Linked DNA regions of Drosophila melanogaster. Changing the gene in region 1 together with any one later gene gives a genetic interaction. Each region holds a gene or a part of one and is shown in the gene's direction. Other genes may lie near its edges.

Region 1 (7,906 bases):
TTTCATATTGTAGTGTGGTGCTCCAGTCCAAACTACCCCACATACCCCCTAGCTAGCAGGGAGGAAAAAATAAGTTACCGTTCTACGCGCTGAAATTTGTTGTGCCATCGACGATCCGCAGATCCCAAGCTGCTGTGCTCCACCGTTGGCAGTTGGCAGTTTGCAGTCTGCAGTCTGCAGTCCGCTGCTTTCCGTTCTGATGGCCTCAGCCAGTGGACCGTCTGCGTCGATCCTCCGCCTCCACCTCCATCTCCCGTCTCCCGTCTCCTTGTCCGCCGTTGTTGTCAGTTGGAGACCGAGTACAAGCGACCATAGATCGCTGGCAATCGATCAAGTATTTCGCGTACATTATCCGAGATGCGTGGGATAATTCTGTTCTAATTTGTAGAGGCCCCGAGCTCCAGTGCCTTTGGCCTCTGGACTCTGAGTTCTGGGCTTTGGGCTCGACTTGGCCAAAAGTGCCTCGAGGAGCCCACTTCCATGCGAGGCACGCACCGACCCATCTGCGCCTGCCTTCTGATTTTCATAATTAATATTGGGTGAATTAAAATGCGCGGAAGGCGAGGAAGTTAGAACCGCGTGCTCGGGAGGAGGGGAAGTTAAGGGAAGGGCAGGCGGTTCCGAACTTCCTGCACTTGTCACCGTGAAAAGACGCGGCACCACCTGCATGCAAATGAGCCGGACTACCGGTAATCAGGTGAAACGGTCACGACCTGTTAATCGTTTTATGATTGTAGCGGTGCTTTTGTTTCCTGTGCACAAACGGTACTTGCACTTCGGCCCAAAAGAAAACCAATGCCCAGAACTGAGAACTGAGAACAGAGAACTGAGAAGCGAAATCGTAAGGCCAAAACCCCCAGCTTTTCCTTTTGTTTTCGCCCAGGGAGCCGCAATTTTATTTAAATTGTAACACAAGCGACCAGACAATTGCCCCGAAGTCTCGCAGAGCTCGATCCTGATTTCGATTCCGATCCCGATCCCGATTCTCAACCCAATCCAATCCCTACTCCCTGCTCCTTATGCGTTATTCATGAGGCAAAAACATTGCGATCGCCTGTACCAATTGCCAATTGGTTCGACTTTTGAGCTGGCGTTGGCGGTTTTCTCTGCCGGCTTTGTCAATCTCAGGCTTTTGGCTTAGTGCGCTGGAGCAGGAGCAGGAGTTGCAGTTGGACCTGGCTTGGTTAAGTGGTTCATTGTCACCCCAGCGCCCAATTAGACACCTGAGTTTCTTGGCCACTCGCTTTCCGGCGATCATACACCGCAGTCATGTGCTCATGTGCCACGTTCTTGCATTCAATCAGATATATTCCGATTGGCCGATCTCGGGCCCATCTGTATAAGGAGTGTGTGTGCTCGGTGGTTTGAGTGTGTAAATCAACCAGCTTGCTGCGCAGATAATAGATATTCTATTTTGAATAATACCTGGGGAGTCGCTTGTACTGTTTTCGTTTTTTTTTTGCTATCTTAATTGCATCCAATTCTACTATCACCAGTCGTACCAATGACTTGCCATCCGAATCTCGTGCTTTACTTGAAATCCTAACACAATATTTCGCAGATACTTTCCCGCATGACCATACTGAAAAAGACAAAAAAAAAGGAAATTTACATATTTCGACTATTTAAAACACTTTGGCTTTGGCTTAAGGCAAATGCCCAAGTAGCGCTATAAATAGTAAAAAAGTCTATATATATAAATATACACATATGTGGCTATGGCTATGGCTAGCTGCAAAATCAAAAGTTGTTCGGAATCGTAAATGGAACAAACGCTCCTCTCGAGTTATAAATATATTTGGGAATATACCTATGCCATCCGTATGCCTAGATGATCTGTCCACCGTTTTGAAGGTGAACTCTGCAGGATTACATAATGCGGACTCTGAGCAGCAGCATCAGGAGCAGCCCCCTAATTCCCCTCGTCCCCTCTCAAATAAATGCACGTAAAACGGCAAGCAAATAATTAAGTATTAGAAATGTTCAGCTGGGGAGAATTCCGCGGAAAGTGCGATGGCAAAAACTACAGCATGTTGCAGTTGTTCCCAGCTGGCCAGAAGCCTCCAAGAGAAGCCAAGAGTTCTCCTCCAGACAGGCTGACGATTGCCTAGAAAGACAGCCGCACTGGAGCCAGCGGACTCCTACTGCCGGTGGAGGAGAAAACGGCGGAGAAAGAGGGCCTGGATGGCTGCAGACGCTGAAGAGCCCAGCCTGCAGCCAACTAACCAATTAGTAAGCGCTGCACAGAACGCGTCTACAATTGTGAGAACCTCAGACCAGGCTTGCAGGCCAACAAGTCAACAAGCCAAGAAGCCAACAGCCAGCAGGCCGTGTGAGTATGATGAAATGTCAGCAGGACCAGAAGCTGCATCGAAATGCACTCGGAGAAATACTTAGCAAACAACTAAAACCAAATTACACAATAAAAAAGTGTCACAGAGCTAGAGATGCATATGTCATATGACCCATCTGTAAACCTAATCCATATAAAATACGGAATTATTAGGAATGCGTGGGGATCATCAAACTTCATCTTTATTTATTGTTCTTTCTTTTCGCAGTCTTGGGGAAATGGGAATACAAGTGGAAGGCATCATTCAGATTCAAGTGACCCAAGTGGCATCCGTTTTCCCGTAGTGTCCAGAAGACCTGGTGCCCGCTGCGTGGATCGATCCTTATATGATCCGCTGGCAGCGGCAAACGTTCTATTTTGACAGTCATTATGATTAATTTAAATCATTAGGCAGCCCGGGCAGGTAGACAAACCATCGAGCTCCTATATTCCATCTAATTAAATGCGAGAGGAGCGGAGCTGCAGTTGGCTGTGGTCCTGGTCCTGGTGCTTGATCGGAGTCGACCTCGGAGTCGGAGTCGTGGAGCTGGACACGGGACCTGGACTGGCTTATTCGCGGAAGAGACAAGCTGGCGACAACGACACCGATGGCTGGAAAAGGCAACGATGACCATTTGCAGCTGGGGAATGCATCATCTTCGATCGCGGATCGGGGCGCAGTGAGTGTATCGATTTATCTGCGCTTACTATATACATATCTGCTGCTATCTGCTAGTCGCTGCACGTGGCCATGCCCACTCCGCCCCTTTGCCCATTCCGCGAACCTCTATTTAAGGACATGGCGAAATACTCGTGCTCCTGTGTACAAGTGGGCCCACCACGCAAATCCTCTAGAGCATTCTGACCATATTGGCGGGGCTAAGAAATTCCTGGCATAGTTTAAGTGTATCGCTTTTTGTTGCTGCGCCCGGGCACTCAAGATGCCCGCAAAGCTCAGCCTGCGAAATGTCGCAAAAGAAATTACAAAATCAGCAATAAGAAAATCAGAAAATCACAAAATCAGAAGATCACAAATTAACTAAATTAACAGCGCTGATAAGGCGAAACGCCACGTATGTAATTACCGAACTCAACCACGAGTTTTCAAGGGGAGGAGCCAATGAGCCACCCAGCCATATGAATCCCAAATCCACGATCTATGTGTGCGCATGCGCAGCGAATGGGTATGCATATGGGGGCGTGGCCATCTAATTAATTAAGCCATAAAGCCAGCAAAATGAACGACGGCAGCAGGAAGACGCCGAACGGGGGTGGGGATTGGGTCGGGGAATGGGGGATTGGGGTTTGTTTTTATGTACTCCGTACTCTTCGCGTTCGAAATCGAAGAGAGCGCGGCGCTCTTAGGAAAAGAGGAAACCGGTTCGCCCAAGTTTGGAATATCGAGCGAACATCGTTGGTGGAAATACGCTGAAGTTTATTAGGTATTTGCACGCCATCTGAAGAACAACGAACGCCAGCTATCGATCGCAAGTTTAGCCCGTCGAATCGTTTCGAATTCGTATTTGGAATGAACCACAATAAAATCGCCACAAATAAAGTAAACAGTCCAAACAAGTGCCTAGCGACAAATAAGCAAACCAACTGCAACGCATACGGAACAAACAAAAACACAAATATTTCCCATAACTGCACTAAATCTACGAAGTCGAAACAAAGTTAGGCGTATTTTTTTTACCAGAAACACTTAAACAATTTTTACAAAAAACGGATATTAATGCAATCAGTTCGAGACAAGCAGACAGCAAGCGGAAGACTTAAGGAGATAACAACTTATAGAGGCCATAATCAAAGGAATAAAGCACCATCAGCCAGCGATGAGAAGGAACGTCTTCAATGATAAACCTTCGAAAACTTTTAGAAAATAGCAAACATCCCAATAAACCACAACAATTATAAAACGCGAGAAAGGATTTGGTAAATCATCTAAAACCAGTTCAACAAACAACACATATAGTAAACATTAAATATTAAATCACAAGTTTTAGAAGGCAAACAAAGATAAAAACTCTTAACACCAGTTAAATAAAATATACTAAAAGAACTGCAACCAAAAAATAACATACAATTAAATGAAATTAAAAGCCATAAAGAAACTTAAAGCCATTGGAAACAAGCCATAAAAGCGGTCCAGAACCTAAATATTAAACACAAACCAAAATTCAAATTCCGCGCCAAACGACCACACTGCGCAACACACGAGCGCTGCATCCCTGGACTTCAGCCGCATTCCAACACTGCAGGACTGTCAGCTGTCAGTTTTCCTGTGTGTGTGCGCGCGTAAGTGTGTGCGTGCACTTAAGAAACTTAAATTCGCGTTCTTGGCCAAAAAAAACCCGGGTTTTTAATAAGTTATAGCGTTTTCCTCGACTGAGAACTTGGCCCCCAGGCAGACGGGCACAAAAACCGCCCCAGAAACGCGCCCGCCGCCGCCAAAAAGGCCGAAAACGCCAGCGAAACGCGCGCGTTGAGTGTTTTCTGTGTGGTTTTATTTTTGGAATATAAAGCGATCTGATCTGAAAAGTGTGCCGCGGCCGGATTCTAGATATTCAGATTCCCAGCACCCGAAACCCAAACGCAATAATAGACGCGCGCGGTGCCTTGGATCTCTACGGCTCCACGGTGGAGAACTTTTACCTCAGAATGGATCCGACGCGAGGTGACTCGCGGTACAATCTCAACTACTCGATGAGTAGCATAGGGCTGAGCCTGGCGGATCCGGCGGACATGTACGGCAACCCGGCCCTGGGGGCGGGCCGCCCGCCCTCCGGTGGCCTGCTCCAGAACATGGGCGGCGTTCCGCCGATGCAGCGCCCCAATCCCGCGGCAGGAGCACCCCCTGCCCCGCAGTGCCAAACGCTCCACAGCCCACAGCACGCCTCCCAGCAGCAGCAGCAGCAACAACAGCAGCAGCAGCAACACCAGCAGCAGCAACAACAGCAGCAGCAGCATCCCCAGCAGCAACGCGGCCTTAAGCGCTCCGGCAGCGACTGCTACGAGGATCACCACCGCTCGTCCGGCGGACTCACCCTCCAAGGACTGGACAACGTGGCCAGCGGAGCCGTCGACGACAGCGTAGACAACTACAACCCGCTGCCCAACAAGAAGTCTCCGCCTGCCAACGGCAAAAAGACAAAGGGACGTGTCAAAATCAAAATGGAATACATCGACAATAAGCTGCGTCGCTACACGACCTTCTCCAAGCGCAAGACGGGCATAATGAAGAAGGTAAGATCGCTGGAGCACCCCTACGCCATCCCCATCCCCAACGATATTTTCAACCCAACCCCGAAACCGAAATCGATCCCCATCCCAATCCCCATTCCAGCCACGATTGGCGCTGCAATTGGGATGTTGACATCGGGCCACGTTTCCAGCGCATGTGCAATTAATAAATGCTTCAGGGATTCAGTTGCGACGGAATCCAGCAGTTCCCCCACATCTCTGGCATTGTTCTGCCTCCGGAAAGAGCGAGGATTTATTGTCAATTGGCCATCGGCACAGTGGTCGGGATAGCTGGCGCACAATAGGAGAACCATCTCGGAATATCAAGTACCCAATGGATATATCCAACAGTTAGACCATTTGTGTACATTACTCGTCAGTTCAAATATTCAAATCTTTCTCTTGTGTCCATTACCAATTATTAGTTCCACTTGGAAGTATGTTTATTGGACCAATACAAATTCTGCTTGGAAATTGCTTATAGGCCACCTTATGTTGGGATCCCAAACCTAATGCTAAACAATTTGATTTAAGACTCAAAAACCCGAACCACTGTGCCCGCGAAGTACCTCTGCTCATCTCTAGAACAGTAGCCGCAGATCCTCTGCTTTTGGCCAGATCGCGTCTGTTTGGCCAACTGTTGGCCGCTTTGGCGGCGTTGTGTAAGCGCGGTAGCCCACGATTCCGCGTTGCCTTTGTTTTCGGCTTCATAAAATGTTAATTTGCCGCCGCAATTGCATTCAAAGGAGGCTCCTGCCCACGGAGCACTCCTCCCCCGAAACAATTGATGCGTGCTCCTTGTGGATGGTGGCCCACAAGTCGCTGCAACTGGCAACGTTGCCTTGGCATTTTCAAATGACCAATTTTCACACGCAAACTTACATAATGCCACTGCATTAGCTCCTGCTGCTTTCCATCGATCTGGGGGCCGTATATGAAATTTTTCACATTTCTGAAATAGACTTCCCTGGCCACTAGCTGAACCAAGCCCCGATCAAAATCAGACAAAAAGCATCAACATCGCGGCGCTAAATCACGATCTCAGCACGATCTTTGCCCAAGACACAAAATCTTATGAAATATTTGACCCAAGCAGACCAAAAACAAAGACGTTGGAGCACTTAAATTTAAAAGGGGAGATTTGGGAAAACGTTTAGCTTGTTGTACGCTAGAATGGCAATAAAATGTCAAGTATAAACTAAATGTTTAATAAGTTTAATTTATTTACTGAAGTTTATTTACTTTCATTATTAAGTCGCAAAGTAACTTATGATTCTTGAATTAGAGGAAGTGAGCAACCCAAACCTGTTAAACTGTTCCTCTTTACCCAATCTCAGTTGATCCCGAAATGGTGTTTCCTTATCGGTGAGGGTATCCAAAACATTTGACCCCTGGGACGTGGATTCTCGGGGCCGAGCTTATGACAGGCGCACGCCCGGGACAAAAGGCCGCTTCCATAATATGCGTTCCAAAAAAATATCGTTTTGGTGACTTTGATGCGGTCCCTCATCGATGTCCAGCCGGCGGACAGTTGACAGGCAGACAATGGGATTTTGACTTGGCGCTACCAGCGGTAGCAGCAAAAAGCGCAGAGGCAATCTGCAATCCGCCATCCCAATCCCAATTCGAATCCCTAGCAGCCAACCAACAAATTGCGGCCAATGAACTTGGCCCAGAGAGTTGTCGCGCCAACCTGCTGGCATGCTTTCCACTGGCCAATTTTGGTCATTTCGATCTGGCCGAGAGCCGGGGCTCTTTTGGCGTGGGTGGCGGTGGTCAAAAGGCCAAAAAAGGCGACGAGAGTGAAAAGTGAGCTAATGTCCAGAAGTGATCTCATTTGCTGGCCAGCCTAATTGCGTGGGCCGCATCATCGATGGATTCGCAGCTTTCGCTTCTGGCTTCTGCATAATGCACGGCCATCGAACAAGAAGCCATCGACAAGTTCCCAACAATTGGCCATGGCTAAAAGGGCAGCCGGGCGCAAAATGCCGCCAAAAGGTGTTAAATTGAAATCACGAGGCCTGGGATTGGGATTGGGGATTGGGGATTGGGCTTGGGAATTGTTTGTTTCGGGGCCAGCTTGCAGCACGGAAGCTTAGGCCGCAGCCTCGTCGGCAGATTGTGCCCAGATAAGACCCAGAAAGCCGGGCCAAGAGGCTCCACGTCGGCTCGCCTTTTGGCCACATGCAACAGGCTGTGGCCTCTGCCACATACGGGGAAAACAGGCAACAATCGGCTTCTAACAAATGACTCTCCATCTGGACGGAGCGGTCGCGGTCTCTGGGGCTGCCTTCTTGTCCTGTCAACGCGCTCGTACCCCAATCCTCGCCC
Region 2 (7,534 bases), on another chromosome or scaffold:
CAAGTCGAGTGTATTTCCGCTTGAAAGCGGCAATAACGATATTTGTAATAATAAATTTACGTAAAATATAAAACAAAATCAACGTTGACTCAAGACCCAGTCGCCGCCCACTCAGCGACACCAACGCTTTTTCGAGGCTGCAGACAAAGTTAACAGCCGACAAGGTAGCAACAGTACACACAAAACAGCCAGCTCAGAAGCTTGGCCCGAAGCCCCACGATGCTCACAATTAGCCGAGTCGAGAGAGTTTGTATACAAAAGTCTCTGCTTTCTCACTGCTTTCCCGTGCGATGGCCATAAATGGTCGCAGACACGTCTCACAGACTTCCTTAGCGGGATCGCCGGCCATCCAAGTGGGCCAAGAGGGAAGGGGCTAATAGCTGATGGCTTATAGCGTTTGGGGCCCCCCTTTGATCGAACTTATACTGGGCATCGCGCCTGGCTTTCTGACCATATTAAGGCAAATGCGATTTCCGAAGCTGGCAATTAAAAGCCAAAGCCAAAGCTGAAACTCAGAACATTTGCATAAGCAATTGAGCGACATGGCAGGTGGAGCAGGGGCATTATTCACGCTCAAATTAGATTAAAAGTAATGACAATTAACGCCATAAAATTCTAGTACTTAAGTAGCAATTAGTTAAACTTATATAAATTCAGTCTTTACAAGCATGCATTATGGCAATTATTAGTGTAAAAGTGCGAGAAATTATTTAAAACTGATTATTTTTTAAAATGTATATATTTTATTACCACGTTTTCAGCCCCTTTTGGCCATGCCCATATATTTTTGGACTTGGTCACAAAACAAACATTCAAAAGTGACGTTTGTTTTTTTAATTATGGCTCGCTTATTCATGTTCTTGTCTTTGGGAGTCGTCGTCGTTCGGCAGATTAAGCTGTCAGCAAAGAAACACAACATTTTGGCCACTTTGTATGTATTTTTAAATACGCTCAGTTAATCAAAAATATTCGTACATATATAATTTGATTTTCAGCTCCCTTCGCACGCAAATCAAATTAATGTTGCATGCGTTACTTTTCCACTCTCCTAAAATGTGTGACGACCTTGTGCCATGAAAAATGTATGCTTTCTGGGCATGAAAAAAAAAAGAATCATAATCAAATTTAACTGTTGTCATCATGATTTATTTACTCAAGAACAAAACACGACAAACGATGACGAACTCGCCTTCAGACAGAAGACAGAAGCACAAAGATAAATTAATCGCCAGTCAGTCACAGAGTCGATCGGTCTATTGCCCGAAGTCATTTATTCACAAATGCTCGTATATGAGTATATCGGGGCAAACTCGAGATTTAAGCCGGGTATGTCGTCATAGCTACAATAATGAGAAAACAACTTGTTTTGCCTGCAGGAGCAAATCCATTTTGCAATTATTTGCCTGTTTCAGTTAATTATAATTATTTGCGAAGCAACAAAATGCAAGCAAAAACAAACTATACAAACATGACTCTAAACAATATTCTTTGTTGAAAAATAAAAAAAAATCGGGTTCCAACAACTGAATTGTGACTTTGAAATCAGCTTAGCACTTTGAAATTAGACGCTATGTGAAAACAACTTGAGAAGTGCACACACCCAATACATCTGAACTGAAACTGATCGAAACGAATTAGAATAAATTATAAAATCCAAATATATGGACAGGAGTCAAAAGCGTCGGCTATCAGATACCCATCAAAAATATTTTAATTACAATTTAAATTGCTGAAAATTACTGAACACCACGTTTCGAAGAATTGTTATTATATATATTTATATTATCTTACAGGAAATACTTTAAATACTTGTCATGAATTAAAGTTAAAACAACAAAATTCCACCATCCATTCTTAAAACACTTAAATGACAAACAAATGAGGAGATTTCCTTGAACTTTACTTCGACGTGCCTCATAATTCGCCACGAAATCCAAGTTGATCCAAATAAATACCAAGAATGAGTATCATTTATGGTCTGGCAACCAAAGTTCAACCTTAAAAATGGAGATCCGACACAAGTCAAGCTTTGGTAGCTGATACCATCTCAATCAAAGGCGAATAAACATTTTTAACTATTTTCAAGTGAGCTCAAGCAATGTCTGACTTGTACAAATGAATGTCAAGCGCTGCTGCAGCAGCAAATAAAATTAGCAATAAATTTAAATAAATAACTGCCTGGCGATATTAGATCATACGAAATCTCAGGGGGCCGTCTACGCGTACTCGTGGTAGCACTCAAAACACTCGAAACGAAACCGAAAATCCATCCGAATCGGAAATCACTCAAGAGAGTGCGCCAAAGACCAACTGGGACCGTACTATGCGATACAGTACGATACGATACGATCCGATACGATACGATCCCATCCGATCCGGCCAACGCAAAAAGCACCCACACATCGGGTGGATGTGGATATTTGGGGAAAGAGAGAACTGGTTTCTCTTCAATGACTTTGTGCTGAGCTGTGCTGTGTTGTGTTGTGTTGTGCGCTGGGCTGTTTTGTGTTGGCGTTGGCGAGCGCCAGTGGGTTTCTCGGTTTATTGGTCGTCGCTGAGAAAACGAGACTGTGCTGCCTTTTAATGCGGCATTTCATTCATTGATCGTTCCAATAGCGCGCCGCACGCTCAGCGCAGCGGACAAGTGAGCCAAAAGTCCGACTTCCACTGCCATCGCCGCCCACCTGAGCCGCTAACCTGGCTAACGGAGTCAAAGCCAACTGGGGGCAGTAGTCAGCTGATTTAGCTGCCACCGCATCCCAAGCCAAACCAAGTCAGACCATCCCAGCGATCCGCGAGATATATCTATTCAGTGCACAGCCGACAAGCGCAGCAGGCGGACGCAGCGCAGCATTTTCTCCGTGTATTTTCGTATGCCATCTCGGGATATTGGATACAGATACAGATTCCGAGATACAGATACACAGAACGCGAGCGACGCGCACTCATAGATATTTTTAGCAACCGGCCTCACGCACACCGCCGCACACATTAGTACCGCCGCACTGACACACGCGGCTTGCACGTTTTCACGGAAAATCCATTCTTCGAGGCTTTTCCAGCAGGCCCAAGATAAACACAACTCAAGAATGCGCGAAAACCGTACCGAAGTTATTATCAATAGTTAAACCAGCGGCGCAATCACAACCGCAACAACCACAACCACCGCAATATTAATTCAAACCAAAACAAGTTCCAGAAGTTTTTGAGGAAATAAAAACTGAAAACAAACCTTTTTTGTTGTGTTAACATGCCAAATTTATGCATGAGCTAATAACTTTAAATCCGAAAAGAATAAAAAAAAGTCCAAACAAAACAAAATTCAAACAAAGATCGCATATCAAAATTAGTTGGGTGACTAATTAGACAGCGCGTTGTCGGAATTTCAATTTGCATACTTTGGCGCAACTTTAATGAACCAAAAATTAAAATAAAAACATCAACAAATCTTAATCAGAGTGCACAACTGAATTCAAATCATCCTGAAAGACCAATCCCGCAGCCATACATTGTTGGATTTATGAAATCAAAAAGGTAAATATACCGCCGCCATTTATCAGACATAAGCGTTCAGATATAGAAAAGATATAGAAGATCTGCCCGATCTCTTGTTGCCGCCCCAATAAAAATAGACAAAAGGCATTCCTCTGTCCAATCACGTTAGTGGCTGGCAGATGGGGCAGGGCGGGCTTTTAAGAAACTTCTGAAACATTTATTTGTCCAAGGTGTTGAAAAGCCAGATGTGTGCAGGGGAAAATGTTTTCGAGCTGCTCAGCAGGGAAAACGGCGACGACAGCCAGTTGTCAACTGATTTTCAAAGGTTACCGAAGGGAAGCAGCAACTTGGCTGCGTTTGTTTGCGACCAAAGTAGGGGGAACAGTTTAATTAATGTGCAAACAAAAGCTGTGAATTCTCATCATCAATGAGAGTCCCGCTTAACCTGCCACTCACTTTAAATCTGTGATGTGCTAATCAACGCCGGCATTTATTTATTTACTTTCATTTTCGCCATACCATTCGGCAACAAGCACTATGTTTGCCCAAATAATCGAGTAAAATTGGTTTCTGGCAGCCAGTCAATCGCCGATTTTAATTTGGCATTTATTTATTTAATATATTAATATATTATTCATTTTGTCGAAAGCTAAAATAAACTAGCATCTCATGGGCTGACTCAATACATGATTAAAAAATGTTATTCGTCATAAATATTTTATGATTTACAAAAAAAAAATTCGCCAAAAATACACGCATTAATCGAGTCAAATTTTAATGATTTTTCTGCCATGGAAAGGTGCATCTAAAATTAAATTAGTTTATGGACACATGAGTCTATTGCTACCCTATATATACTTGCCTACCTCATTGTTTGCTGTCCCCCTGACCCAAATCTCGATCGTATGTGGGAAAAGCCAGCGCCCCTCCTTGCAAAGAGACTTAAACAATAACAATAGCAGGAATAAATCAAGAAAAATAAAAGTTAGTCGTAGGCAAATGCCAGAGACCTGTCAAAAAATCAAGCAAATCAAAAGCCGATGGGTAATACAAAACCACACAGAAAGCTATCAAAATATAACTCATACGTATTCGTATTTATCCACACGGTGGTGGAAGGGAGACGGTGAATGTAAACACGGCCACATCACACATACGCAGTGTGTGCCAATTTTAATAAACAAACTCAACGTAAATGGAAAATCAAACAAAATCATTTGGCCAAAGCAATGGCAACAAATCAACAGAAGAAAAAACAAAACGAAATAAAAGGAAAGAAGCGTAAAAAAATCAAAAGACGGCAAAAAAAGAGATGGGTAAAATAACAAATAAGAACTTGCCGCAGGCCGGCTAAAAATAATAGCTGCCAACGGTAGCACACACGAGACTAGCATCAGGGGGACGTGCAACGTGCAACTGGCAACAGCCAACAGCACGAGACAACAGCAACCACACACACACACACACGCGCAACTAGCTAGGCGAGCAACAACAAAGGTTATAGACTATAGGTGACTATGTATATAGTATCGGCAACAAAGTCGAAGCCGAATGAAAGATTTTGACGCTTTCCACAAAAAGCAAATTAAGAATCACAAATCGAGGCAGATAAAAAATAGATAGAGCGCTACGAAAATAAGAAAACGAAAATAGTGAAGGAAGAAAATTCAAGTTGCATACAATGAAAACTAATTTTAGAGCTGTGGAAAAGACAACAACAACAAAACGAATCAAAAACACGGCAGGCACAGAGACAATCTGAATCAGTCGGAGATTCCATAGCGAATCGGTCCAGAGGGCAGCTCTTGAAGTTACGAAAGACAAAGCAACTTTGGATTTCATTCAAAAGCAATAATTAAAGTTGAAAGTTTAGTTCTTGATGATGATTTTACTACTTTAGTTACTTTTTCAATTGAAGGATTACTAATATTTATAAATCAAAGTTTAGATCCGTTTACCATGCTAACTTTATCTTGTCAAGAGAAAACATTGTTCAAACTAAGTCATCTACCCTCGTTATAGCAATGCCTCATGTGGTTCAGTTGCTTTTTTTTCCGTGCCCAAGCAGCAGACGCTTCATTTTCCATTTAACCGCACCCGACTGCCGAAATCCTTGAATTCAACAATTCCTCCTGCCCCGATTTTCCCCCCGGAAAACCCATGGGCGCGCAGACAAGCGTGCAGAAAAAGTTCTAAATTTAATGGCTACACCTAAAAATGCAGCGACTGCAACCGAACCAAAAGTGAAGGGCAGACTGCAGAGGGAGGAGGAGCCACTCGCCGGTAGTTTCAAGTGCACTTCGGCTAGGCCTGGCTAACTTCCCCGTCCCCATTCCCATTCCATCTGATTTTCCCCAAAAAAAAAAAAGTATTTTATATATCTGTGGAACGGGCCGACCCACCCACACGCCCCTGCCCCGCCCCTCGACCCCTTCACGCCTCGTCGCACGCACGGCTCGCCTTTTGTCTACCAAACTGTTGGTAAAAGAGAATGGGATCAGGAAAAGGGGTGCACTGAAACAAAATTCTTCAACTGCAAATAATTGTAAGGAAAAAAACTTTAAGAATTTTTTGTTGTCAAAAAGCTCAACATTTTATTTGAATATGAGATCTTATAAATATATCATATAACAAAAACACAACTTAGTTTGATAAGCTGAAATGTTATAAGCAGTAATCAAACATAACAGCTTTATTGTATTTGATTGAACGTATTTCTTTCACATTCCTCCGATTTTTCTCAGTGTCAAAATGAAATGTTGGGCTTTTGTGTAAGAGGAACTGTTCTATGTTTGTTGTCTGTGCATTTCAATTGGGCGCTTTCTGCATTGTGCCGGCGTGTAATTGAAAACTTAAGCAGAGGCACCACCCCGCCCTCCTTCCCCCCCCCCCACCGCTCACTTTGTCCACGAAAAGCGCGCAACAAATTTTCCAATCAACAGAGAACGAAACAGGCCCTATGCACTATAAACTGCGCCCCGCTAACTTCCTGCTCCACTTCCTTGCAGCATATCCTGTATCCCTCCGGTTGCGACTCCGAAAATCAGGAGGCCGCTTGTTGCTGTTTGTTCAACAAACGTTTATTAGCCGCGAATACTTTTAATCGCATGCAATTTGTTGATTGCGGACAGTCGTTGCACTTTCCACGCTTTTCCACCCACCCAGCGAAAAGGCCCACTTTAAGCACACGGAACTAGGTAATTTTCACGTCGTTTTGGACCGGAGGGCGGGAAAATGGGAAAATTGGGCGGAGGGGAGCGAGGGGAGTGAGCAGGTGAACAACGTTTGCCGCCCCTCTTTGAAGACGGTGCACAAATTTTTCTGTGTTGCGCGCTTAATTGCAGCTTGTTTGTTGCATGTCGCAAACTTTTCACGATGCCCTTACAACTCAAGTGGGTTCCACTGACTTGGGGGCGGGTCTTTTAAAGAATGACATTCGTTTCGTACCATGCTTTAAAAATAATGTATTAACGAAATTTATATGTATATAGATATGTAGAGTAGAGGATAGATACTAAGCATATTCTAAAAGCATTTAAAACTTTTTGAAAGGGCATGCAATCCATGCGGATCTTTTCCAACTTAAAAACTTCTTTCTGCTGGGTCTTTAAGCATTTCTTAGGATTGCGTGGTAAAAATTAATTATACCTCGAAACAGGGGCGAAACGCCAAAAGAAAATGCCGGCACGAAGTGAAGAACCTAGCCACGTGTTGAAAGTTGAGGCAGGGAAAGGTGATTTGAATGGAGATTTGCTGGGATTTCAAGATGAGCTGTGCTGAATCTCTTGGCATGCATTCTCTCTGGTTTTTTTTTTTTTTTTTTTTATTGCTGCCAGACAAACAAACATTAACGGTAATCGAAGAAAAGTGCTCACTTAAGGAGAAACACCTCATAACTCGTTTAGGCCAAGCCAAGAGCGAGCTCTGGGAATGGTCAAAGCTATGCAACAAGTGTCAAGCAGGCCAACAACGAGCCAACATGCTGGCAATCCAAGCCAATGCGAGCCGGATTGAATCGGGCAAGGTGGCCAGAATCGTC
Region 3 (9,392 bases), on another chromosome or scaffold:
GAGCGAGTAAGTAAACAAAAGCTCAGCGATCATCGACGCCTCAATGGAACTTTTTTTGCTACGAAATTAGTATTCAGTTACCATACGGACAACAACAAGTTAAACAAACCTGAAAAAAAACATGGACACAGGCCGGATGCGGCTAAAGCAAAAAAAGTCCAAGCCAAGAAGCCTCGACTGCAAGTGGGATCTCTGATCTTGGATCACCAATTGCCAATCATCATCGCTGGCCATATGCAAAATATGTTTATAAATAAACGACACTGAAAGAAGTGGATGTTTACCCAAGTTTCTGCTCAAGATTTAGTTTTAACCGAAATGGTGAAGTGGAGAGCCTTAAATTTGTGAATGAACTTTATAGTAGTTATAACATTTTGTATTACAGCACTTATCACATGGGCACCACAAGATACCATTATATTTCGCAATTGCCACGGGAAGTGTAGAAATTTTTATCGGTGCAGCGAAACGAAATCGGTTCCGAATTCCAAGGCGAAGTCATTAATGGGATGTCACTGGAGAGTGACAGGGCAGAGCACCCCTTTAATGGCAACTAGATGTCCTCAGCCCAGCTGAGATTGGAATGGAATCAGTTCGGCTGGGACTGGGATTTCAATGGGGATCGGATCGGATCGGATGGGATCGCATTGGAGATTGGGGCTCGAGGAGCGGGACTGAGTGACGGGTATTGGATTTCAACATGCAATGCACGCGGCGCGGCATGCGGCTGCATATCTGCAACGCCATCTCTGGGATACGTCGGGATCCCCTTATCCCCTTATCCCCGATTTCCTATCCCAATATATTATATATATATGAAATACAAAAAAAAAAAGGCACCGCAAGTGCCCGCCCGCTGATTGACATGTGATCCTCATCTTCATCGCATCCTCCACAAGTTTCTATGGCTTGCAAATAGCGGCCCTCTTGCCTTCAGATTTAAATACACTTTGAATATTAAGTTTATACTTGTGGTATATATTGAATTAAATCGAAGATTCTCAGGAAGTGCATCTTAGATATAGGTAAACCAACTGCAATGCAAACGAACTACAATTTACCATCAGATGTAGGGTATTTAAATTGCGTATTTATAGATTTTCTACATTTTTTTCCAGGTTTCTGCTGCTTTTAACCTGTTGTTGGTTCTTCGGCGGCGCTGCTGATTTGTCATTCAGGCGAAACACTCGCGAGTCGTAAAGTAAGCTCCGTTTCAGTTCCAGTCTCCTGAAATCTGGCGAAGAAGACGTGAAATCATCTCGAGACGTCGTTGTTGCAGCAGTCATAAAATTATGATCGGTATTTTTTAGCCTTCCGTTCCCCTGGGAAATTTGAACTGTGTCGCTGGTTTTTGCCAGCATTTTTTAGTTATTTCGAGTCTAGTTTTTCGACATGGAACATGGATTTCTGCTGTATTTCATGCAACACCTTGTTCCCCGATTTCCAGGAACATATGTATGTATGATCTCGGGACATTCCTGAACTGCGTTTCCACGGAAACTTGCAAATAGACCGTAGTAATTAAAGGCACGAAAGCCGAAGAGCAATAAACACAAGCTTTTCGAGCCCAGTCATGTCTCCCATTCAGCCATAGCGAACCAATTCAAAACCATTTCTAACGCAGACGATAACCAGAGAGAGACGTGTCGTTTTTCACAAACAACGACGCGCCCGCTCATTTTCAATGAAAATTTCCACAATTTCCTCAATGGATCGTCGTCGACCCATCATGTGTGTGAAATACAATCGTGGATTTCTTGCCCAGAAACCCTGCAACTTCTTCGGTGCAATGGAGTGGGAGAGAAGTCGAGGCGCCTCGAACTCTTATGTGTGTTCAAGATGTCGTGGACTCAAATTAAGATAAGATGCAGATAAGCCGTGCATTTCGATTTAGCCGTTTGAAAACTCGTTAATAAGAATTTGGTCAATCCACTGATAACGACTAGTTTTCCATTGAACGGAGGCGCATAACGCTTATCTTTGTTAGGAATAAATATGACAAATTGAACGACTACCGTTTAATCGTTTGTCTATATACGAAAACTTAACAGGATTGTTCGAGCTATCAGTTTATTTGAATAGTTATTGTTAATGAAAACTACTACTAACTAGCCCAATATAATATATTATGAATATTTACTCTTCTTATTTTCAAATGATTTAAAATTTTCACCATTCCACAGCGATTAAAATCTAATTTACCCATGCATATATTTAATATTCATTCTGTAATTAATCAAGCCCTTGTTGAACCACTCGCATTGTCTTTTTCGCCTTTTCGTGTTGATTGTGGAACCTCCTTATCCCACAAAACACTTTTCATTCATTTTCATGCTCATTCACAAAACATGAGAAAAAAAAAAGAAAAACAAACATTGCAGTCGTGAGAGGAAAATTATTGAGCGAGAGTTACTGTTCGTGTTTTCTCATTTTCAGCTGAGAAAAGCAGCCGACCAATCACAAAACCATTTCCCCTTTACAAAAAACCGATCATTTTGCATCTCGTGGAGAGTATTCAGATTTGTTTGGAGAGTTTCGGAGAGGAACTCGTTAAGCCGGGTCTACAAAGGTGAGTATCTGTGGACCGTGGTGGAGTCAGGGGAAATGTTAGTGCTTTAAAAAGTGTCTACTATGTGTGGAATTTGGATTGTATCTTGTGGATTGGATATTGTGGTAAGGTTGAGTTTCATTTGGTATCTCGGGTAGAAGTCAATGAGGTGGATGTTCGGGCACACAGGCTGTAGAACTTGTTGGATATTTTGTCAAGAACTGAAAGTATCCGAAAGGATTAATTCATAGCATATATACCTCAGTTGTATTTTGAATTATTTTAAATTAGTTTTCTCAGAATTCATGGGCTTCACACTACACATCTTCCCCTCTTAAGATCTCAGGCTTAAATTCGTACTCCATTCTCATTGTGGATTTGAAATGATGACTGTGAAGACCAAACACGAAGGGCTACCCCTTAATTCCACATTCTTGTCCACCAAAGCAGACCTCTCCGCAACTCACCTCTTAGGAACTCTCCTAAATTCCGGTTTCAAGTTGTGGTCCAAGTTCCACATGGACACCAATGAGACACATTCCCCAGTCTCCACTCTCCAACCAAGTACATATCTCTCTCCAGCCGAACGAACCCGAGAGCGAAGACTCCGCCTATCGGATTCGGAAATGCCCGTTCGGGGGGTATAAAAGCGGGCGCTCTGAGCGAGCACCACTCATTCGTTGTCTGACCGCTCGCAGCAAAAGATATAGAAATCGAGAACGTAAACGCAGAAAACACGCTGGATTAAAGTGTTTCGTTTCGAACATCGACAGAGTGAGAAAACAAAGTGAAGTGAGCGCACAAAGCCGAAATCAAATCAAATTGAAAAGCCAGTCAAGAGCAATCTTTAACTGAACCTCGCAAGTAATCCGGTACGACCGTGTAACAACCGCCAAGATTCTACTCAAGGAGCGTAAAGCAATCATCTCCAGAATGAAGTCCCTGACGGCCGTCTGCCAGACAGGTGCCTCCGGAATGCCGGCCTTGAATGCCAGCGGGCGCATCCAGCGCCATCCCACGCACCGCGGCGACGGGGAGAACGCCGAGATGAAGATGTATCTGTCCAAACTGAAGGACCTCGTTCCGTTCATGCCCAAGAACAGGAAGCTCACCAAGCTGGAGATCATCCAGCACGTCATCGACTACATCTGCGACCTGCAGACCGAGCTGGAGACGCACCCCGAGATGGGCAACTTCGATGCGGCAGCCGCTCTGACGGCGGTGAACGGACTCCACGAGGACGAGGACAGCGACATGGAGGATGCGGATGCCGAGGCAGAAGCGGAAGTCGATCCAGATATCCTCGCCCAGCGCCTGAATGCCGAGCAGCCGGCGAAAGTCTCTAGTCCCGCCGCCCGTCTCCCGCTTACCGATCGCCAAACGCCCAACACTCTTGTGGCGCCCGCCCATCCGCAGCAGCATCAGCAGCAGCAGCAACTGCAACTGCAGCAGCAACAACTGCAATCACAGCAGCAACTGTCCAACAGTTTAGCAACGGTGAGTTAACAAACAAATTGCTAGGGTAGTGAAAAACCCAAATAGGAAGTGGGCAGATGAGCACAGCTCAGGTCGAAATATTAGGAGAAATAATAAGGTTATGGAATATTTAAAGTAGTTATTTTTGAGAAAATAACATAGTTAAACATTTAAAGTACATGACTTCACTGGTTTCAACTAGACAATAAAGCGATTAATTGCTAAAGTTACGATAAGGAAGTGCGAATATCGCAAAGTTTGCGATCCACCGATTTTCGCTATTTCCTTGAGTGCCATTATTTTGACCGCAGCTGTTTGGCATTTGCATTGCAAATTTAGGAGACAATTGAGTGTCAAACTGTTTGGCTTTACTTGTTTTTGTTTCGCGAGTGACCTCATTCATAAGGCGATTGACGAATGTTTGCGTGAATGTTGTTTTTTTTCATTTTGTTTTATTTTTTTTTAACGGAAGGACGAGGCGCGTTTCGTTTCGTTGGCGAGTTTTGGGAAATTTCTTTATTGGGCGGGTGGCTTTAGACAACGCGGCCTGCCCGATTTTGTCGTACCCTCTTCTTCGCCGCACAGATTCATTTCGTTTTTATAGACATTTCACAGACCGTCTCTGTGCGATTGTATGCGTTGCGGTTGTTGTCGCCATCGTTTCTTTCTTTTGTGTGTTGCCTATACGTAGCTGTTAATTTTTTCTCGCGGCCTTTTTCTGTTGTTGTGATGTTTTAAATGAACACCTGCAGATACTTAAATTTATTTCACACACACTCGCACACACACATACTCACTCACTCACACGCACTTGCGAGCTTGAAAACGGAATTTGGAATTGGGGAATCATCAGTCTTCGTATTTTATTTCATTTGGGTTTATTTTTTGGCTCACTTCATTAGCTCTCAGCTTCGTTACTTCTTCGTTTTTGGACTTTCGGTTATTAATGATGCTGGCGAAAAAATTCGTTTGAGATCTACAATATGTTCGTAAAAACAGGTTCGAAAAAGCTTTTTTTTCAATGGGTTTCTCAAACAAATGATCGACTGGGTGGCCCGGCAAGTGTTATTAATTTTCGATCTCTGATTGTTGATTAATTGTGAAGGTGGAAACCCTTCTTCGAAATTCAGAAAGATGGTTTTGAAATCGTGCCTTCGTCATTCCTGGCTATGAGTTACTTCTTAAATTTTTGATTAATTAACTGTGGGTCTTTAGCTCAGTCCGCTTTGCGTAGGTCTCTTTTCTCTCATTTTGGGTGCGTAATTTTTGTGTTTTTGTTGCAAAACATCTGCAACCCACAAACATATATACTTTTTGTGTTTGTATGATGTGTCACCGCCGCAACAACAACAACAAGCCAACAACAATCCGAGAATTCTTTCGAAAACACGCACACACACACACACAGAAGAACACATGGGGGCACTCAGAAAACTGTAAAAAGAAATGCACGTGTTCAAAATGTTCTCTCTGTGGGTTGTTTTCAGTTGTTTTTGCTGTTTCTTTTTCGATTTTTTTTTCGCGCAGCTGTGCGCCAGTCGCCAGTCGGTCGCTTTCTACATTGTGTTCCCCCCACGGATCCTGCCCCCCCCCCTCCACAACCGCCCCCTCGCAGTAAGAGAGCAGAAGACGGAGGAGAAGAGAGCGCAAGACACTGGGGGAAAAACTGCGTGATTTCAACGTTTTGCTGATTTTCAACTGGGTATACTTGTGCAAGCAAGCTACCTGAGATGTTATTTTAAAACATGTTGTATCTTCTAATGCACATGTTCTTAGTGCAAAACATTTTTCCCAGTGCCAAAGAACTCAAATAAGTGCAAAACAAAAGCTCAATGACAGCGCGTTTGATTTTCTTGGCGCCTCTTTATTGCCCCATCCCCTCCACTCATCGAAATCAGCCTCTCGGCGAGTGTCCCAAACACAAACAAAACAAACAAATCAGTGGAACAGGGAACTAATTGATAACATAGAATGGCGAAATAATACAGCTTATAAACTAATTATTGCATTTCAATCGCACATTAATAATGTACTAATTTGAATCTTCCCGCTTCTCTCTTTTTAGCCACAGAATGCGGAGAAAGACAGCAGACAGTCGTAAGCGTGGAAACGCCCAGCCGGGAAAACCCACGGAACCTATAAGCCTATTAACTAAATGCATAATGAAAGTACAGTCAAAACTCCACTCGCAACCTTCGTGTGAAGATCTCCGCATAAGATAACGTGTGAAACTCTCAAGAAAACCACAGCCCAGGCGCATCTCTTCAACGCTCCTTTTCCCGGGAAACGGAAAACCCGGGAAAACGAGACCTCGCTTTTGGCTCCAACAGAGTTTAGTTTAAACATTTAATAACAAGAATACAACAACACAAAACCTAGCATTAGAGCAGCGTAAGCAAGTACACATTATGATTATTAATTAAACATTACAACTAGGATGATGGCGCTTAAGAATGAACGGAAGAAAGAAAACTTGGCAAAGCTTTAAACAATTTAATTTTCCTTTAACGCTTGAAATTACACTGAAGCATATATTTTTGTTTTCCTAATTTTAGTTTTGTTTTGGTTTAAACAACGCAAGAAAAAATGTTACTAATGCAAAGCAAACAGAGATCAGCAATAAAAAAAAATTATAAAAATGCACAGGCACCAAACTGGAATTACGTTGAATCACCGTTTCCTGCATTACGATTATATGATTTCAATCCAAATGATTTTCCTATTAATTTTAATCAATGAAGAGTTTTCCTATTATTGATTAGCCACAGCCAATAAACAACAAGAACAACCAACTCAGCAGCACACACACATTCAAATTCATTAATTTATATCGAGAGAGTACGTTTAGAGTTTAAGTTCGAGAAAGTTCATTTCCAGGCACTAATTTTCACTCACACCACTCACATAGAAAAACACAAACACCTCATTTTGTAGTTTTCCGAGTCCCTTGGATCGTTTTCCTCTTTTTTAATCGAAATAACGCATAATGCATAATAATTATTACCAGATATACACTAAAACCTATAAATATATATTAATATATGTTCTGTGATCTGTAGCATACTTTGTACAAAGTGTTTTTTTTAGCATAATTATGCGATTTTAATTATGATCCGCAATCGAAATTACACATTTTTGTTCTCATTTCGATGGTAAAAACACTCTATCATGATGTAAAAAAAAAAAACAAAAGAAAACATTTGATGATGTTGCGAAAAAATATATTATCTAAAACATAAAGAAAAACAAACACTAGCTCTTAATAAATTGCAAAAATTTAAAAAACATTAAAAATCGAATATGTCAATGGATTTCCGTTGGGAGCAGGGGATTAAGAAACTACCAGATCTTACCGCAAAAGTCGGTAACTACCTGCAGACAACGACAACAAGTAGCCGGGGGAGGAAAACTCAGCTGGATGGCCATTTTCACATGTAAACAAGTGCAACGAATTACCAGAACAATGAGGTGGATGATATTATTCTCGGAGTTTCATGGGCGAGCGAGTTTTCTCACGCAGCCGCCGCCTTTGTCATTAGGGGTTTGGTTTTCCCATTTTCCATTTCCCAGGTAAAACGGCCGTAGGGTCCGTTGAAAACTCGACCTGCACACGTGTGCGAATTGCGGACGGAAAATTTCCGTTGAGAAAATTTCCTTCACTGTGGCCTGGCCGCTTTTCCTTTTATTTCACGTACGAACCACTTGGGTGTGGATTTAGTTTTGGATTTTCTGCGCTACCCGCAGCTGCCTGCCCACCCACTTCCACTCACACTCACACTCCCACGGCCCACCGCCCACTGTCTCCCTCTCTTTCCCGCTATCTGGCGGCCTATTAGCGTTAATGATTGCAACTACAATGCACTGACCAATTGGCAATTGCGACTGTAGTCTCGGGTTGGCTTCGAGATCGGGGCTTGGAGCTTGGAGCTCGGCACTCGGAGCACTCGGTGCCAGTCGCCCCATTCAAATGTCAATTCGGATCGGACCCCAGTGGACCGCTGGGGAAACACTTTGAACAGCTACGAAAAGCTTTTCCGCGGAGCCCATAAATCTGGGATGCTCTATGGAAGGCCCTAAAATGTATCATTAAATCTTTAGGTTAAGGCACTTTCTTGAAAAAACGACCTATTTACATCTTAGCAACCATATTAACTAGTTTAATCATGCGGTAAAAGTAGTCGATCGATTTCCTTGTGCTAAACTTAACCCAACACCTTTTTGAAAACATATTTTCTTTAAAGTTGTTGCATATTTTAAATAACACTGTTGACAGATCTGCACTAAAGTACAATTTATTACATTGCCTCCTGTTAATTGAGCAATTAATACAATAATCGTAAAAAATACCCATTCCATCGACAGAAAACCGCATTACTATCTTCTTGTTAGGGTATGCCCAGCCGTTTAAAGTTAAGTTGCAGGCATTTGGAAACTAATAGGAAAAGAAACAAAACACTCTGGGGTTCACATGCATTGTCTACGGGGGACATTCATTGTTCACTAAAAGATGTCGAGTGAAGCTTGAGAAAATAAATATTTTAAAAATCAGTATAACATTTCGTTGTATTCAACCCATGAAATATTGAAAATCTTTTACAAAGTAATAAAAGTGTTGTGCGATTATTTAGGATTTGAATCCTACTCCTATGAGTGAATACCCAATTTCTCCATGTGCATCGGTGCGTTTTAGTCGACATCGCCCGTTCTGCGGGGCCAATGATCTCCGATTCCGAGTCAAACTCTGGTATGCGCTAATTGTTTGCAGAGCTTTGGGCTCTGAGCCATTGGCCAGGTACAATTAGTGCGCTCACCTTAGTCGGGTTTTCTCCCATGTAATGATTTTTTTTTTTTTTTGGGTGCGACTGCGCTGAGACGAGAAATCAGTGAAACTTGAATTACCATAAAAACTCGTGTAGCAGTCAACAGCTGCGGCAACTGCGCGATTGCGAATGCCGTCGCCTCGGCTCAGCCTTCCAATGGCCGTGCCGGAAAATTTTGACATAATAATTGTCAAGCTGACATTTCCAACCACGCAGCTGACAGCTGAGCCCGAACCAGCCGGGCTCCCGAGTGTTAAGCGAAGCTATATGCTCGAACTCCCGGCTTAACCCCTTGCGATCCCAGGGGGATTACGGGCAGGATTATGCAACTTAACCTTAGATAACTCACCGCCATAATGCCATGATTTTTGGGGATTCAAGGCCGACATATGTTTTCAATAACTTTAGTTTCTATAAATTTCGAATACTAAATATGAGTATTTTTTGTTTTTTTTTGCATTATAATTTTTGAAAGGTAAACGAGTGCTGACTGTGCAATCCCAATTGCTTTCAGGTGCCTGAAATGCCCATTAAGATTTTCGAATTCC
Region 4 (7,988 bases), 1.8 Mb from region 1:
GGATACGATCAAACTTTCTATAACCGGAAGTAGAAAACTCACAAGGCACTTTTACCACAACTATGAGCTTAAAGAAAGATAGAATCATAGAGTTTTCTAATAGCTAATCGCACTTCTAACTTACCTAATTCATATTTTTACTAAAACCAAATTGAGTAATTTCGTATTCATAAACAAAAGTCAAGGTGAGAGGCCTTAAAAAAGTTGCTCAAAACGAAAACAACATTCTTATAAGTAGATGGATGATACATTAACCTGAATAATTCAATGGCATTTTTATAGTCGCTTCTTGGCAATATCTTTCGAAATGATTTTGGCTTCAAGTTAATGTAGCGCAAAATTAGCGTCAAAGGTAACATTTTTAATAGAACTCACTTTATGCGCTATAAACCTTAATGATTAATAACCAAATGCGCAGTTACCATTTGATTTGAAAGTGCCTTGTAAATGCATAGAGCTTATAAATCCAATCGACTTCCTTTTTTCTTCTTTTCAATTAAGTTTTTCAAAACTAATGGATTTGTGTCTCTTTTCGTTTAGCATCCCCTTTGGCGCCATCGCTGCGGCCAAGTCGCTGCGTCGCACTTTCAAGTTGGAGTACGTGGATGACCACAACGATCGCAAGGAGCTGGAGATCAAGCTGCCCAAGCAGCCGATCGCCGCGGGCCTGTACCGCTCCATCACGGAGCGCCACGCCTTCTACGTGTGCGACAAGGTGCGCGGAGTGGTGACCAATCAGTTTACCCGGGATCTCAAGGGCACCATCGCCTCCATGTTCATGGAGAATACGGAGCTGGGCAAGCGCTATGTCTTCGACATTCAGCACACGTGTCGCGAGGTGCACGACCAGGCGAGGAGGACTCTCCACGAGCGGGGCGGCGATCTGGTGGCGGAGGGAGCCGAGGGATGCTCTGCTGTCGCTGGAGGATTGGGCGCCTCTGCCGTCGGCGAGCCGGGCGTCAGCCCATGGGCCATGGCCCTGACGACTGGTGCCGGCGGCTCCATGGCCGGCAAGATAGATTTGGCCATACGCGAGAAGGAGGCGCGTGAGGCGGCGATTGAGCGTTGCGTGGACACGCGCATCTCGGAGGCCATGCAGTGCAAGATCTGCATGGACCGCGCCATCAACACAGTGTTCAATCCGTGCTGTCACGTCATCGCCTGCGCCCAGTGCGCTGCACGGTGAGTTGTCTCTGCAGCCTTGTGCTCCCATTGAATCCTTACTAACTTCCTTAATCCTGTCTTGCAGATGCAGCAACTGTCCCAACTGTCGGGTGAAGATCACCAGCGTGGTCAAAATCTATCTGCCGCCGGAGCTGCGCACCAGCCAAACCGGCAGCGGCGCCACAACCACCAGCAGCAGCAGCATCATGGGCGACGGCCAGGTGGAGGAGCAGCTGCTCCAACAGCAGCTGGACGAGATCTCGGCGGCACCCGCATCCCTCGAGGCGGGCGCAGATGCAGGAGTGGGAGTTGGCGGCATGGCAGTGGGAGCAGGAGCAGGAGCAGGAGCAACCGGACCTGGCGGACAGCCGAAGGTTACGACGGCCGCCTAGAATTGGTTGTGCTCGCTGCTGTTCCGGCTGATGGAATGGGTGTGCGTGCCGATTGTCTGAGAACCAACATGATTCACTAGTGCTCTATGACCACAACCTAAAAGGGGAACAAACCGACGAGGCAAGCAAGCAACTGGCAGCGTGCAACATGCCACGTGCAACGTGCAACATGTCACGTGCAACGTGGGTTTGAAATCGATTCGAAGCGGCGTAGTCAGTCTTTCAAACAATCTTAGCTCTATCTTTACTCAAGTATTCTAGCGACATAAGCAACTGAAACTTTAACTCTAACTCTAGCTGTAACTCTAATCTACAGAGTAGCCATATACACGATATATATATATACCTAATATATATATATATATACATATATTTACTATTTATAGATGTACGAACTTCGAGAAAGTGCTATTTAAACTCGTCTAAGACTTCACTGCATAGCCTATGCCTAGAATCTATAACTGCAGATTGTTTCATATTCATATACACACTGTATACTGTATACACATAGATATATTTACGATCGTTATAGATCAGCGATACCTTATACGATGTAGCCCTTGAATGTACAACATAGTTACTTACTAAATGTTAGCAATTTTACCAACTAAAACTCGAGATGTATTTATTAACGCCTAAACTCTTTAGTATTCCACCCTACCCAAAGGAACCTATATAAGAAGCCCCCCAAATTCTCATATATCTAACCATGGATACCTATTAAAAAACTATATGTTATAGCGTGTGTATATATAGGACAAGCGTACAATAATCGCAAACCCAAGGAGCAAAGTAGTACTAAGTACCTGCAAATCAAACAGAAAAACATAAACCGAAACTGAAACAGAACACGAAACACGAAAAGTATCTCTGCAGCGGATATTACATAGTCAATAGTAAATGTTAACAATGTTATACTATATATACATAGATCTATATATATATATAAATATATATATATATATATATACATATAAAAGAAACCAATGAAAAAACCTTAAATGTACCTTGTTATCTGTTGTTTATTATTTGGAAAGCAAATCTTCGTTTCTTGCCGTCTTTAGTTGAAAGCTTTCTGTGGCATATTTCTTTGTTCTTCCTTAACGAATTCTTCTATCATTTATCAGTTTTAATACTTCATTTCTTTTCTCCTTTGGCCTCGTTGCAAAACTGAATTCGAAATAAATGCTCTTGACCAAAAAATCTCATCAAGTTCCTCTCATTTGAAATCATCAAAACCTCATCGTCTTCTCCTTTCATTTTCTTATTTATGAGCGCGTTGGAATTCTTCTCACAGCTGGAAAATATATCAAAAAAGAACATACTACGCCTATGTAATGAGTCCAATGAATCTGCCAAAGGTCTCGATAAGAAACCGCATCATCTGCAAATTATCCATTTCTGGACTCAGCTTGAAGTACTGAGTAATCTTCGGTTTTCTCTTTCCCGGGATATCCCTGTCCACATTTGTAATGAGATGTTTTAAGTAATGCGGAATACTCTGAAGACCAAAGGGAATATTTTCGTTTTGCAGCAGGAACTCTTCGGTTTTCATAGTAACAGAATTATTTGGCACTGCCATTTTCACACTTATTTCGTTGGGAATAGCTGTTCCGAGTGTGATTCCTAAGCCGGCAGGGAAAATTCATTAGTAGAATTTATTTTATACATATGTTAATTGCTTACCCAAGAAAAAGTGCAGAATAAAAATCACTATTGAGTTCATTTTCAGACCTAATTATTTCTGTTACAATGTTCTGATTTTGGGTTGAGTTGTGACGCAAAGTATACTATTTGAAAACTTTACTTCGACGCTTAATTCGAACAATAGATTATTATAGATTCAAAGTTTATTTAAATTGAAATCTTTAAATCCCGTTATGTTACATTTTTGAATTGCGCGCCCAAATCTTCCACGAACGCGTTAGCACATAACTCAATTTGAGCCGCTTGTGAGCAACAGCTGATCCACTGCTCTTCTTCTTACACTCCAGACAATCGCAGCACGAAATCCAGCGATGTGGCAACACCGCCGGCCAGGTGGCAATTCTGCTGCGCAGTGTGCACACACTGGCAGCCACTGCTGGTTGGCTCTTCTTCTTGCAACTGCTGCAATTATATATCGCTGTTCCGTCGTCTCCGCCGATCCAACTCCGCGCAAAAAACCGCACATATATCGCTCAACGGTCCGCGAATAATCCGTAAATATTGCAATTGCACGGTGGGCACAAAAAACACGACAAAATAAAAGGCCCAACACAAAACAAACGGAAACTCACACGGACACACGCACACACACGCAGGCGAGCAGCTGACGCCGGCAGAGGCAGTGCAGCAGCAGCGACAGCGGCAGAGCAGCGACGGCAGCAACAAGCAACAAAAGCAAAAGGCAAACAATTGGATAAGCGCTATTAAGGTGTTAAAAAGGCAGCCAACTTAACAGTCCAAGAGTTCAGCTTGAAAAGCTAACGGTTCCAAGGTCGCAGCGCGAAAAAATCGAAAAAAAACACTCGCTTTTTAGCCGTCTTGTTGTTGTTTTGGCTGCTGCAACAGTTGCAGCCTATGCGTATGTGTGTGTGTGTGTGTTGTGTGGAATTGTGCGATCGCCATCGTCCGTTTCTCTCGCACTTGCTGCTAATAGTCGCCGGTGAAATGGTGTCGCCTTTCGCAGCCGACGTCGACGTCGCTGCCGACGACGGCGCAGAGACCACCACTGTGGCAATGAAACGCAATTTGTTGTTCTTGTTTCTGTAAAAATGTTTACAATGCGATCAAAATGCACTGGCAGAAATTAAGAGTGATAAGCATCAAATTTAGCCCATTAAAATTTGAAATTGTTAAAAGCGATGTGATAAAGTTTATAAACACAACTATAAGTTTGAAACACATAAGAATAAAATAAAATCTAACTTGCGCGAAATTCATTTTCTTATTTTAAACCTGTAATAGTGACCGAAAATTTTGAAATTCTTTCTAGATTGTTCAGCCACAACTGAAACATAAAATCGAAACCCTATTTTTACCAGCTTAACATGGGTAAAGTGAAACTTATAAGAAAACCATGAAGAATACCGTGAATGCTCAATTCAAAATTTGAAAATCCACTAGTGCTCTTAATAGCTTCAAAAGCAAGTGAAGAAATTTAGAATAAAGAGTGTGATAACCGAAAGAAACACCGAGAAACGCCGAGGAAAGTCTAGACAAGTGCCTGAAACCAAATGTGTTTGCCCCGAAGTTAAGTCCCTTCGATCCGCCCAAATCGGCTTTAATTCCCGTAAATCCCCTCTTCCGCCCAATAATTCCGCCACAAAAACAGGCACATGAGTTGGATTAATCGGAGTCAACTGGAATAGGCCGAAGCACCCGGAGCACAGGTCAGTATCGGAACAATCAGGCCATATCGACTGACATCAATCAGTTAAAACATTCAAATACCGTTTGCTCAATTGGACGGTTCGCCTTGAATCGGTTGAAACCGGTTGCCGATTACCGGTTCGCTTTAAAATTCAATTAATTTAAATCAATTCAGACCAGACAGTTTGGTTTCGTGTGGTTTCCATCACAAATATCCGCCGCGACCTAACTATTTCTAAAAAAATGCAATAAAAGATTGCACAATTCCTAGCAATCGAGGAATTTCAAGTGCTGTACAGCAAATCTGAATGATACTGATATTGACGCTTTTTAAGTGAAGGCATGACGAAAGTAAGACGTTTTTTACGGCATTTACAAAATGCTACTCAAAATATTAGGTTTTGATACGGAAAATCTCAATAGAATCTACCTTACATCATATGTAGATAAAATTTAAAAGTCTTTAATAATTTATGAGATTTTAAATACAAATGCTGAAGTTTGCCATCGAACGTAATTGCAGAATCCTAAGATATTATCATTGACAACTTATTGGGCTGCAAAGATAATATATAAAATATATATTCAATTATTATATTTGTCCAACTGATGGAATTAAATAATCATTAAAATGGTAATTTAATGAGGCGCTTTTGCAGAAAACAAAAGCAAACCGCATGGCGAATAAAACAAAAATCGAAATAAAAGCGATGATTTATGCAATATTCAAATATGCATTTCGCACAGGCACTCACACACACACACACACACACACATACATACAGATAGCATTTGGCTTGAACTTTAAAGAGCGACTACGGTTATTAATTTAACCTTTTTATTTGGCTTCACTTGGTTTAATTTGTGTCCAGCAGGTCCCAAAAACCTGAATGCGCTGATGGCCAGCTCCGCAAATCCCTGAGCCCCTCTTAGCTGTCCGGTTTTTTTTATTTTTTTATTTTTTGGGCGCCCTTAATGGAAAAAATGTTGAGCGGTCTTTTTGCGATTCTCCTCTCGGCTTAATCCCATTTTTGAATACCCTAGCAATAGGGCTTATAACTTCGTTAAAATGGTGAAATACTCTAAATAAAAACATAAAACATATATGAACTTATTTGATTTCAAACTCCAAATGTTGCATGCTTTTAAGCATTTTAAAACCATTCGGTTTTTTGATCTCCATAAGATGTTCCTTATTCCTTGTATATTTCGATTCATCGCACATCCATAGATGATTGATACTGTGCGTATCCGATAGGGTATTCTTAATTCCGATTCGTACATATACCATTTTATACTCGTTCCCCATTGTTTTTGCGTCTGTTTACGTTGAACTGGGGGCCACTGAAATGGAATCGAGGAGAAGGGTGCCCAAAAGGAAAACGACGTCCTGCCATAAAATTGCATGTCCAAGTTGTTTTATTTGATTATGCGATCGTGTGTGTGTGTGTGTGTGTGTGTGTGTGTGTGTGTGGATTTTTGTTGCTGTGCTCGTTTTTTTTTTTTTTTTTGCTGCAAGAGTTTATTGCGCGGAATGCTATTTAATAAATTCCATTTTCTCTGTCATTTTGCCGTGTTTTTGTTTTTGCATCTCGGGCAGGATTTATGTTCTTGCTTTTGTTAGCGCTGTTTCCGCTTTCCATCTTGTTTGTTTGCCCGATGCAAATTTAAAAAATTCAATTTCCCTGGTAACTCCAATTGCGTCAAAGGCCAGCCAAAAGTTGCGGAAATGTGAATTATGTGCATCCGTTGCAATATGCACAGCGTGCTTCTTGGCTCGCTGCGATTTCATATTTCACTGCTGGATTTATTACTAATTTTGTTCCCCATTTTTGGCCCCTTTAATGCAGTTTACTTCCCGCGGCGCTCGCTTTTCCTTGGCTGAAAAACTGGCACAGAAATACTAGGATAGATAAAAAAAAGCGACGAACAATAAAGACGGCAAAACTTAAGCACCTTAACTCACTTTTGCCAGCTCTCAACTCTACAGCAGAAACTCGCAGAAAAGAACTCGACATATAATCGAGAGGAGAGCGAACGAAAAGAATTTCAAACTACGCTAAAAACTTTTCCGAACAACGCAACTTTTTCTTGCCCCAACCAACACCACCACCACCCACCCTCCTTCGAAAACTTTTCCAATGTTCCTGCACTCGTTTTGTTATTGTTATTGTATGCAACTTCCGCCACAGCTATAACTATAACTATGGAATAGAAAAGGCGAAAAAAAATACAAAAAAATACTGGCAAGAACATCGATGATAAGCGGGAGTTCAATGGTTAAAGCTGGGCATTTTCCGCATTTGGGGGAAAACTTTAAAAACTGGTTCGCTGCGTTTTCTATTTCACTTGTTCTCGGGCTGCTGCCACGCCCTCAAAAAAAAAAAAAAAAACAAAAGCAAGGACATGGGGGCCATAAAAATGTTCCTTCAGGCAGCTGGGGGGAAAAACAAAAAACTTTTAAAAACAACTGCACGGGGAGGAAAAACAGGCGCAGGTGGGCGGCAACAAAAGCAACAATGTTCAAGTGCAGGCACTGGGAAAACTCGGGAAAACACACTTGAGGTCAGTTCAATAGGACAGGCTTCCCAATAATTATAATAATAATATTTATTCTCATAACATCTATAAGAAAACGTATAATGTGCTTAGATAATATAATATATAATGTTCAACTTATTCAGCTAAAGTTAACATAGTAAGCCAAATACTACAATTGTTTTAGCCACAACTGTGTGCCCAACACACTGGAAAACAAACAAAAACTCGGCTAACAACTCTTAAAAGCTGGCACCAGGAAAAATGAGGGTAAAATACAAAATATGAGCGCTCCAAACTGCATTTTCCCACAAAAACAATTGCATGGCCCTGCTGCATTTGCAACCGAGTAAAAAAAAAATCAATATAATGCGCATAAATAAATTAAAAATAATTGCAATACGAGTAGAAAAACTTCCGTTTTGCATGCCTTTGTTGTTTACATTATGCAACTTTATTATGGCCACTCGAAATTACTGCTGGCAAATTATTTATTTGTAAATAAATAATAAAACATTTAATTAGTGGGGTAAACATTAT

What was found.
Region 2: of bs (region 1) and tx, changing one enhances a phenotype caused by changing the other (phenotypic enhancement), as found in Drosophila melanogaster (one study listed by BioGRID).
Region 3: of bs (region 1) and emc, changing one enhances a phenotype caused by changing the other (phenotypic enhancement), as found in Drosophila melanogaster (2 studies listed by BioGRID).
Region 4: of bs (region 1) and px, changing one enhances a phenotype caused by changing the other (phenotypic enhancement), as found in Drosophila melanogaster (one study listed by BioGRID).

The regions. Positions count from the first base shown.
Region 1 is NT_033778.4:24,339,097-24,347,002, forward strand, and holds the start of bs (blistered), read left to right. Parts: upstream 1-3,764; 5' UTR 3,765-4,993; coding exon 4,994-5,578; intron 5,579-7,906. UniProt on the Drosophila melanogaster protein: Required for the formation of intervein tissue of the wing. Acts in a dosage-dependent manner to suppress wing vein formation and promote development of intervein cells. Might play a role in the proper formation and maintenance of the trachea.
Region 2 is NT_033777.3:26,438,203-26,445,736, forward strand, and holds the start of tx (taxi), read left to right. Parts: upstream 1-2,575; 5' UTR 2,576-3,534; intron 3,535-7,534. UniProt on the Drosophila melanogaster protein: Probably plays an important role in the differentiation of epidermal cells into the tendon cells that form the attachment sites for all muscles.
Region 3 is NT_037436.4:746,183-755,574, forward strand, and holds emc (extra macrochaetae), read left to right. Parts: upstream 1-3,217; 5' UTR 3,218-3,481; coding exon 3,482-4,045; intron 4,046-6,089; coding exon 6,090-6,125; 3' UTR 6,126-7,310; downstream 7,311-9,392. UniProt on the Drosophila melanogaster protein: Participates in sensory organ patterning by antagonizing the neurogenic activity of the Achaete-scute complex (AS-C). It lacks a basic DNA-binding domain but is able to form heterodimers with other HLH proteins, thereby inhibiting DNA binding.
Region 4 is NT_033778.4:22,557,688-22,565,675, reverse strand, and holds the start of px (plexus), read left to right. Parts: upstream 1-3,610; 5' UTR 3,611-3,757; exon of another isoform or gene 3,758-3,777; intron 3,778-4,533; 5' UTR 4,534-4,930; intron 4,931-7,988. Other genes in the region: dnr1 (defense repressor 1), read left to right, coding at 541-1,182, 1,250-1,556; CG11362 (uncharacterized protein), read right to left, coding at 2,887-3,182, 3,243-3,282.